Linked DNA regions of Coturnix japonica. The protein of the gene in region 2 purifies or fractionates together with the protein of the main gene of each other region. This does not show direct contact. Links are inferred from orthologs where the notes say so. Each region holds a gene or a part of one and is shown on either strand. Other genes may lie near its edges.

The links. Proteins that work in one complex are often made in the same cells at the same time.
Region 1: the proteins of KAT2B (region 2) and YEATS2 purify together in Homo sapiens (affinity purification with mass spectrometry; 3 studies listed by BioGRID, with this or other methods). This does not show direct contact. The link is inferred for Coturnix japonica from reciprocal best matches to the Homo sapiens genes KAT2B and YEATS2.

The regions. Positions count from the first base shown.
Region 1 is NC_029524.1:705,336-709,078, forward strand, and holds the start of YEATS2 (YEATS domain-containing protein 2), read right to left. Parts: upstream 2,126-3,743; 5' UTR 1,988-2,125; coding exon 1,888-1,987; intron 763-1,887; coding exon 665-762; intron 576-664; coding exon 483-575; intron 1-482. UniProt on the Homo sapiens protein: Chromatin reader component of the ATAC complex, a complex with histone acetyltransferase activity on histones H3 and H4. YEATS2 specifically recognizes and binds histone H3 crotonylated at 'Lys-27' (H3K27cr).
Region 2 is NC_029517.1:32,849,419-32,853,161, reverse strand, and holds the start of KAT2B (histone acetyltransferase KAT2B), read right to left. Parts: upstream 2,632-3,743; coding exon 2,395-2,631; intron 1-2,394. UniProt on the Homo sapiens protein: Functions as a histone acetyltransferase (HAT) to promote transcriptional activation. Has significant histone acetyltransferase activity with core histones (H3 and H4), and also with nucleosome core particles.

The DNA.
Region 1 (3,743 bases), on a different chromosome or scaffold from region 2:
TATGGACACAGCACTTTGAATCACAGGATGACTCGGGTTGGAAAGGACCCCAAGGATCATCAGTTCCCAACCCCCTGCCATAGGCAGGCTGCCAGCTGCTAGATAAGCACAAGATCAGATTGTTCAGGGCCCCATCCAGCCTGGCCTTAATCACCTGCAGGGATGGGGCAGCCACAGCCTCTCTGGGCAGCCTGTGCCAGCACCTCATCGCTCTCAGTAAATAATTTTTCCCTGACATCTAATGTTAACCTCCCATCCTTTGGTTTAAAACCACTCCCCATTGTCCTGTCAGTATCTACCTGCATAAAAAGCTGATTTCCTTCATGTTTATAAACTCCCTTTAAATACTGGAAGGCTGCACCGAGGCCTCCCCACAGCCTTCCCTTTTGCAGACTGAATAAGCCCAGCTCCTTCAGCCTGTCTTCATAGGAGAGGTGCTTTGCAAATACTGCCCGAAGTCTTTCTGCTCCCCATGTATTTACCTCTCCAGGTTTCAGCAGCCCAGCAGATGCGTAGTAGTTGGCCACAATGCAGGCACGCAGCTTGTCCATCATCCGCCTTGCTTCGATCAGGCGCTGTGGAAAGAGAAGGGAACACACAATGTGGAGTGACCTCCAAAAGCCCAGCACATCACAGCCTAGTCTGTAAGACAAATCCCTCGTACCTGATCTATAACTTCAATTTCATGCTCTTTATTCTTCATTTCGACGGCAAACTGTTCTTTGATAATGGTCTCAATCTTCTGCACAGCAATATCTCGAGCTGCATGAGGCCACACATGGAAAAGAAAGGAGACTGCTGTTTCTGAGGTCTCCGTTGAAATAAAGAAAACAGATACATTGACACTGAGCAAATACAGCACCATGAACAACATTAAAGATCTTTCCTCTGCTAAAGAACGTAATTTGTCTTCACAAGAAGCACATACATCTCTCCTACTGGCCTATGCAGAAGGCAGGCTGTCCCTCTCCAGGTCTGAGGCAGGAGAACAGGGCTGGTTTGTTTACTTTTGCCTCACAAAAGCTCTGAGGCAGCAAAAGGGAAACCCCAGTGTTCTCACCACACCAGGTTCTGCTGTAGCCGTGTGCCTGCCAGTGCTGTGCACACTGTTTCCAGTTTGTACCCAGGAAGTTTACACCATGTTACACAGCAGCAATAACACAAACTTGCTGAGCTGAGCATCCGCATGAGGTGAGTGACCACATGTATCTTATGGGCCATGGAGGAGCAGCCTGCTGCTGGCAGCCTCATGCAGACCCCCCTGCTGGACTCAGGACACCCAAACCTGTTGGCCCAGGTAAGGCCTGAAAGAGCAATGATGCTGCCATAGGGACCGCTGGGGACAGCCCTCCAACCTGCAGGCAGCACAGCCACACACTGCAGGGCAGGAACAGCTGCATCCCTGTTGCATCCACTGCCTCTCAACAGGGCAGTGCTCAGGGCTTGTTCTGAACTTAGTCACAGAATTATTTGAGTTGGACAAGACCTACAGAGGTCCCCTGCAACGCACAGTGACACCCACAGTGCTCAGAGCCCCGTGCAGCCCCACACCGGGTGCCTGCAGGGATGGGGCATCCACCGCATCTCTGGGCAACCTGTGCCTCACCACCCACCTTGTAAAACACTTCTTCCTTATAACCAATCTAAACCTCTCCTCGTTTAGTTTGAAACCATTTCCCCGCTATAGAGTCCGTCCCCTCTCTTCTTACAGCCCCTCAGGCTCTGCCGGGCCGCCCTCAGCTCCTCCCGCAGGAAGCTCAGATGTCCGCGCTGATGCTGTACGCACACAGCCCCACACACACACGCGTGCAGACGGCAGACGCGCTGTGGGCCGCGGATGCAGCCCCGCACCCCCCGCACCCAGCAGGCCCCGCTCCCGTCCCGCACCTGACTGCTCGGCGGCGCGGTGCCGTTTGCTGGGCGGCGCCACCGCGATGTCCTCGTAGTCGGGGTCCTTCTCGGCCAGCGCTCTCCTGACGCCGGACATGGTGCTGAGGCAGCACCGCCCCGCAAGGGCCCGCGGAGGGGCGCGGCCTTTGTTCCGCCTCGCGCGGAGCTCGGTGCGGCGCCGCTCCCCTCAGGCCGCGGGCGGTGCGGGGCGGTGCGGGGCGGTGCGGGGCGGTGCGGGGCCGTTCGGTGCCCACGTGCACGCCGCGCCGCTCCCCTCCCCCCGCCGCACACAAAGCGGCCGCGCTCCCTCGCGCCTTCCCCCCCCTCCGCTCGGCCGCCCCGCCCCGCCTCAGCGCCGCCCCGCGGCCCGTCCCGCCGCGCCCCGCACCGCCGCCATCACCGCGCCGCGTCGCGGGGGAGGAGCCGGCGCAGGCGGACACGGAGCGGCGGGCGGAGCGCGGGCACCGGGCCCACAGCAACCCCCGCCTCCAGCACCGCCCTCCCCCCCCCGCAGCCCCAAGGCGGCACAGAGCGCTGCTCCAAAGGCGAATGTTTATTAGGTACATTGAACTTAAAAAAAAGGAAATCAAACGACTATGCAAGAAATAAATGCAATACGTCAATGCTACCGCGATGGTGCTACGCTACAGAACCGCTGTCAGCACGGCCGGCAGAGCCCCGCCCGCTGCGGGCTGACCCGGGCTGCCCTGCGAGCAGACGGCACAGGAACGAGCTCCGCTGTCACGGCTGCATCCGCCGCAGCGCTGCCGGATCGGAGCATCTTCTCGTGCTCCGAACACGCCGTGCTGCGCTTCTTGCCGCCCAGCGGCGGCGTTTCTCTGTCCCAGAAGAGCAGCAGCAGCAGCTGGCCGTGCCCAGGAGGGCGATCCGGACTCTTCACCACCACACACAGACATGAATTCAAGGCACGGAGATTTTGTCAGCATAACAAACCCTTTCTTTGGAACTCAGTACTTAGGAAGCCGTGATTACGGTATCAACACACTGTATTGCATCACTTATAACAGCGTCATGGTCAAACCAGCCACATTATCACACACAGGTGGGGACACACAGACACCTGAGCAGAAAAGCCCTGTTGCTGTTTGGGCAGCTGAGGGCCGGCAGCACACACAGGGCACGTCCTCACCGGCAGCTCCATTTGCTGTTCCTTGATGGTGGGCCCACCTTCAGATGAAAACATTCTGGTTGCCTCACTGTGATCGAGCCCTACATGCTCTCCTGGTCTCTGTGCGGCCAATTTCACAGCTCCACCTACCCACGAGGCAGAGCTCCAAGCAGTGCCGTGCCTGCACAGAGGGAAACTGAAGGCTGCAACTGCAGCTGCTACCATAGGGGAGCTCAACTACTGCAGAAGCTGAGCAGCCATCACCGTGCTGATGAAAGGCAGCAGCTGCACTCATGTTTTCCATGCAGAACCTGCCCAAAGCCAGGACGAAAACACATTAACTTTCTTCTCAGTTTAACGTCGCATTGCTAAGAATGGAAGGACGTTATCTGGTGAACTTTGGAACGGGATGGCGTGGATATTAAAATACAGAAGGAAAATATTTACTCTAATTTCTTTTTAAAGTGTGGAATACATCATGGAGAATTAATTGCTTAATGGAGGGAGATATCAGACGGCTCTTTATATCTGCACTTAGGTGTGACTTTGGGGAGACCTGACCCCTGTGCCTGCACAGAGTTAAGCTGACAGCACTGCTTTGCTTTGGAGTTGCTAAAGCTCTTACCATTTATGATGCAAATCTTTTGATTGTGGTGGAAGACATCCAAACTTTCCTCTGGGCTGAGGAGGGGGAGAAACAAACAAGCAGCTGGCTCAGCCACCA
Region 2 (3,743 bases):
ATGTGTGTAAGCGACACAGTGCCGCTTTTATGGAAAGTGCTGCAAACTCATGTATCCAATGCTGAATTTCACACCGGGCAAAACCAAAACGATGTATGCGGTCATTCATATGTGTGCAGATATAGTGACTGCCAAATGCAAAATGCTGCGCAAATACAGCTCTACTGTGTACTTCTAAAAGTCACGGATACTCTGCCAACTCCTTACATATCTCTTATTGTTCAGAATGCACATTCTTCCCACACAGACTCGGGCATTTAAAAGGCTGTTTTACACAGAAGAGTCTGTTCTTGCCCTTCTACCCCGAGCTTTTTATTTCACAGGAGAAAAGTCAAGCAGTGAAGCTCCATGGTGACCACTCTCCTGCCTCAATTCCTTAGCAGGAAAACAAAAACAAACCACTCAAACAAAAACAAGCAAACATGTATTTGCAGTCCCAGGACAGGGCAGCAGATCCCTAACCTCAGTTCTCACTCAGCTCAGCAGTACTTGCAGCCTTCTCTCCAGCATGGCACCTTTCCTCCCCCACCCCAGGCATTCTCCCAGCCACTGACATCTCTCCATCTTCTCACGCTGCTGCTCACCCCAGCAAACCCACGGTCTTTGCCATTCCCTGCATCTCTGGGGGTTAAGCTTGTAATACACTTTGTGTGCTGAAGTAGCAGCAATGTGGGGTGAATTTTACTTAGGCAAAGGTTGTTAACACTAAGGAAACTGTCACACATTTTCTGCCCTCCAACTTATACAGCTCTACATAGACCTGCAGATCAACATGGCTGCTACCACAGAAACCTCATTCAGAGATAGGCTGTTTGAGCTTTCACACGCACACAGAACAAGTGGAACAGGAGTTGCAACCCAGAGTAAGAAAAAGCTCAATGTTCCACTCTGTGCTGCTACAGACTCTTGTATGCCCAAGCAGTTTGGAGCCAGGTGTTCAGGAAGAAAAACAACACATCCTTCCACCCAGCTTCATCCTCTCCCTGTCCCACAGGAGAAAGCACTTGATGAGTTTACAAGGGTGTCTCATTGTTGATGTTCTGAGACCCGAAGGAATGTTGTCTGCCAGTACATTCCCGAAGGAAAGTTAGGTAGCAGAGGCCAGGTTTGCACTGGAATGCGCATAGGGAGTCACACTGAGTACTGTGCTGTGCCTGCTTACTGACAAGGGATGAGGATGAAGCCCAGGGTACTCCAGCCCCACACCCAGGTCCACCAGACAGCACCAAGTGGGCCTCCCTGCAGGACCCTTGGGATAATACAGACACCCCTGCAGGGCACGAGTAGGTGAGTGATCACTGTGCCACCAGCAGCCTGGGAGAGGTTTGGCAGGGCTGGCATCAGGCCCTGCCCTCCCTGAAACACCCACCTCTCCTCCAGCGCACAGGGGCTGCTGAGGCACAGAGTGCAGAGACACTGTTTCATCGCACTAGGAAAGCTTCAAACCACGTTCCCCCACCTTCCAAGAGAGGAGCAGGTTTCCAGACTGGCTGGTTTTAACTGACTGACACAGTGTAACCTCACATCATGCCGTGGACTCAACCAGGCCAAAGCAAAGACGCTTACACATTGGTGAACTGCAGAGACATTGAGGCACGTGGCTTTCTGAGCTTGCCCTCAAATGACAGTATTGCGACATGGCTCCAGCAGACAGCAAGCTCTTCACATCACCAAGCAGGGCAGCGGACCTGCACAGGGATGCTCCCTCGCGTCAGTGGGCATTTAGTTGGGATATTCACTTCATGCCTTCTTGGAAATCCCAAAGTAAGGGAACAGAAAGAACAGAAACACACTTTTCCAGCAAACTGCTCAATTATTTTCAGCACCGAGAGCATTACTGGAGTGTTTTGCATCAGCGCTGCCAACCGGAGCGTGTCAGCTCGCTGCGCATCCAGGAATCGCCCTGACAGCCCCGGCGCGGCCTGCGCTGAGCCCTGCACCGCACACGCACCGATACCGCTCCCGCTGTCACAGAGCCCCGGGGCAGCACAGCTCTAACCGCTCTCCGCACCCGCACAGAACAGGCAGGTCGCGGCCCCCCCGCGTCCATAAGCGGGCTGCAGGTGTAGGGACGGGCGTGTTACGGAGCACAGCGCAGGGCGGCAGCGCCCAACGCAGGGCGGTGTAGGAGGCCGGGGCAGGGCGCGGCGGAGGGCAGGGCCCCGTCGGGCGCTACGTGACGGCGGGGCCGCAACTTTCCCTTGGGCGGAGGCTGCACGCCGCCGTTCCCGAGGCTCCGGGGGCAGCGGGACCCGAGGCTCTGCCGGACCCGCCGTTTCCGCGGGGAGCGCCGGGCTAACAGCCGCGCTGCCTCCCGCCCGGCCCGGCACTGCCTTCCCCTCCCTCCGTCAATCCCCACCCTCCGTGGGCGGGTGGGCGCTCGCGGCCGGGTACCTTGCAGGCGGAGTAGACGCCCAGCTTCTCCAGCTTCTTGGCCCGCGGAGCTGCGCGCAGCTGAGCCTTCTTCCCGGCCGTGCGCGCCGAGCCAGGCCCCCCGGGGCTTTCGGCGGCGCTACGAGCCGGGCCCCCGGCGGCGGAGGCGGCGGCCACCCCCCCGGCTGCCGGGGAGCCCTGCTGAGGCCCGCCGCCTCCCGCCGCACCGGCCGCGGCCCCGCCGCCCGCCTCCGCCATGCCCGCGGCGCGGCGGCTGCCGCCCGCCCGTCCGGCCGGCCGGCGCGGTGCGCCCGGCCCTAGACCCTCCCCTTCGCCGCGCCGCCGCCGCCGGCTGCTCCCCGGGGGGGCGGGAGGAGGGCCCCGGCGCTCCGCGGGCGGCTCCTGTCCCGCCGGGCGGGGGGAGCCGGTGCCCGCCTCCCGCTGCTGAGAAGCGCGGAGTTGAGCGGTGGCGGGCGGCGGCCACAGGCGCCGAGTGTGGGCCCGACCCCAGGGGCTGAGGAGCCCGGCAAAGGGGCGGCAGCGCCGCTTCACCGGCGGAGCCCACGCGCCTCCCTTGCCCCTCGTAGGGCCACGGTTTGTTTGACTTCAGCGGTGCTTTTCCACGCTTTGCACTTTGCGGCTGCTTTTCAACGGGTTTGTAGGTGATTTCCAAGTCAGTCTATACATATCTGTAAGTTTATTTTAAGCGTAAAACTCAAAGATCCTCTGCTCCGTTCCCTGCATGGTCCAGGAACGTCTCGTTTTGGTCCCGGACCGAGTGTTGACAGCGGGTCATCCTATGTCTATTGCCTTTTAATTGAAAGCAACAATTAAGCAAGTGATCCCACAGCAGTAACTGCGCTGAGCGCGCAGGAGTCCCGAGGAAGTTACGCTCTGTCGCACGTATGTAAAATCGCGGTCGAGCCGTGAGAAACCGCAAATGGCACTAACACAGCGGGGCACCACGGCTTAAAAGGTCGGGATTGAGGCTGGGCTCTGGTGTGCGATCCGCAGCTCTTTGATGTGTCAACCTCGGGCTGCAATACCGAGAGGGAGGGGGATCCCGGTGCGTGTAAAACGTGCACTTGTAAAAAAGAAATAGCAGCTCCCGATTTCTGCACCTGCCCCGTTCCGTTCCCTGCCCGGCGTTAAAGCTGCCCCGGAGCCTGGCAGATGTGACAGCGACCCGTAAGATGGCTGCTGCCATCCCCGCTGCTTTAAGACGGTCTGTTAAGGTGGAGAAGCCGCTACGCTCGGAGGCGAAGGGAAACGCAGCCCCTGGCTGAGCAGATGATTAACGGGAATAAAAAGAATGAACCGAGTCGCTTCTGTTAAATCTGAGGATTCTTTGTTGTTACTGGAAGTGGTCG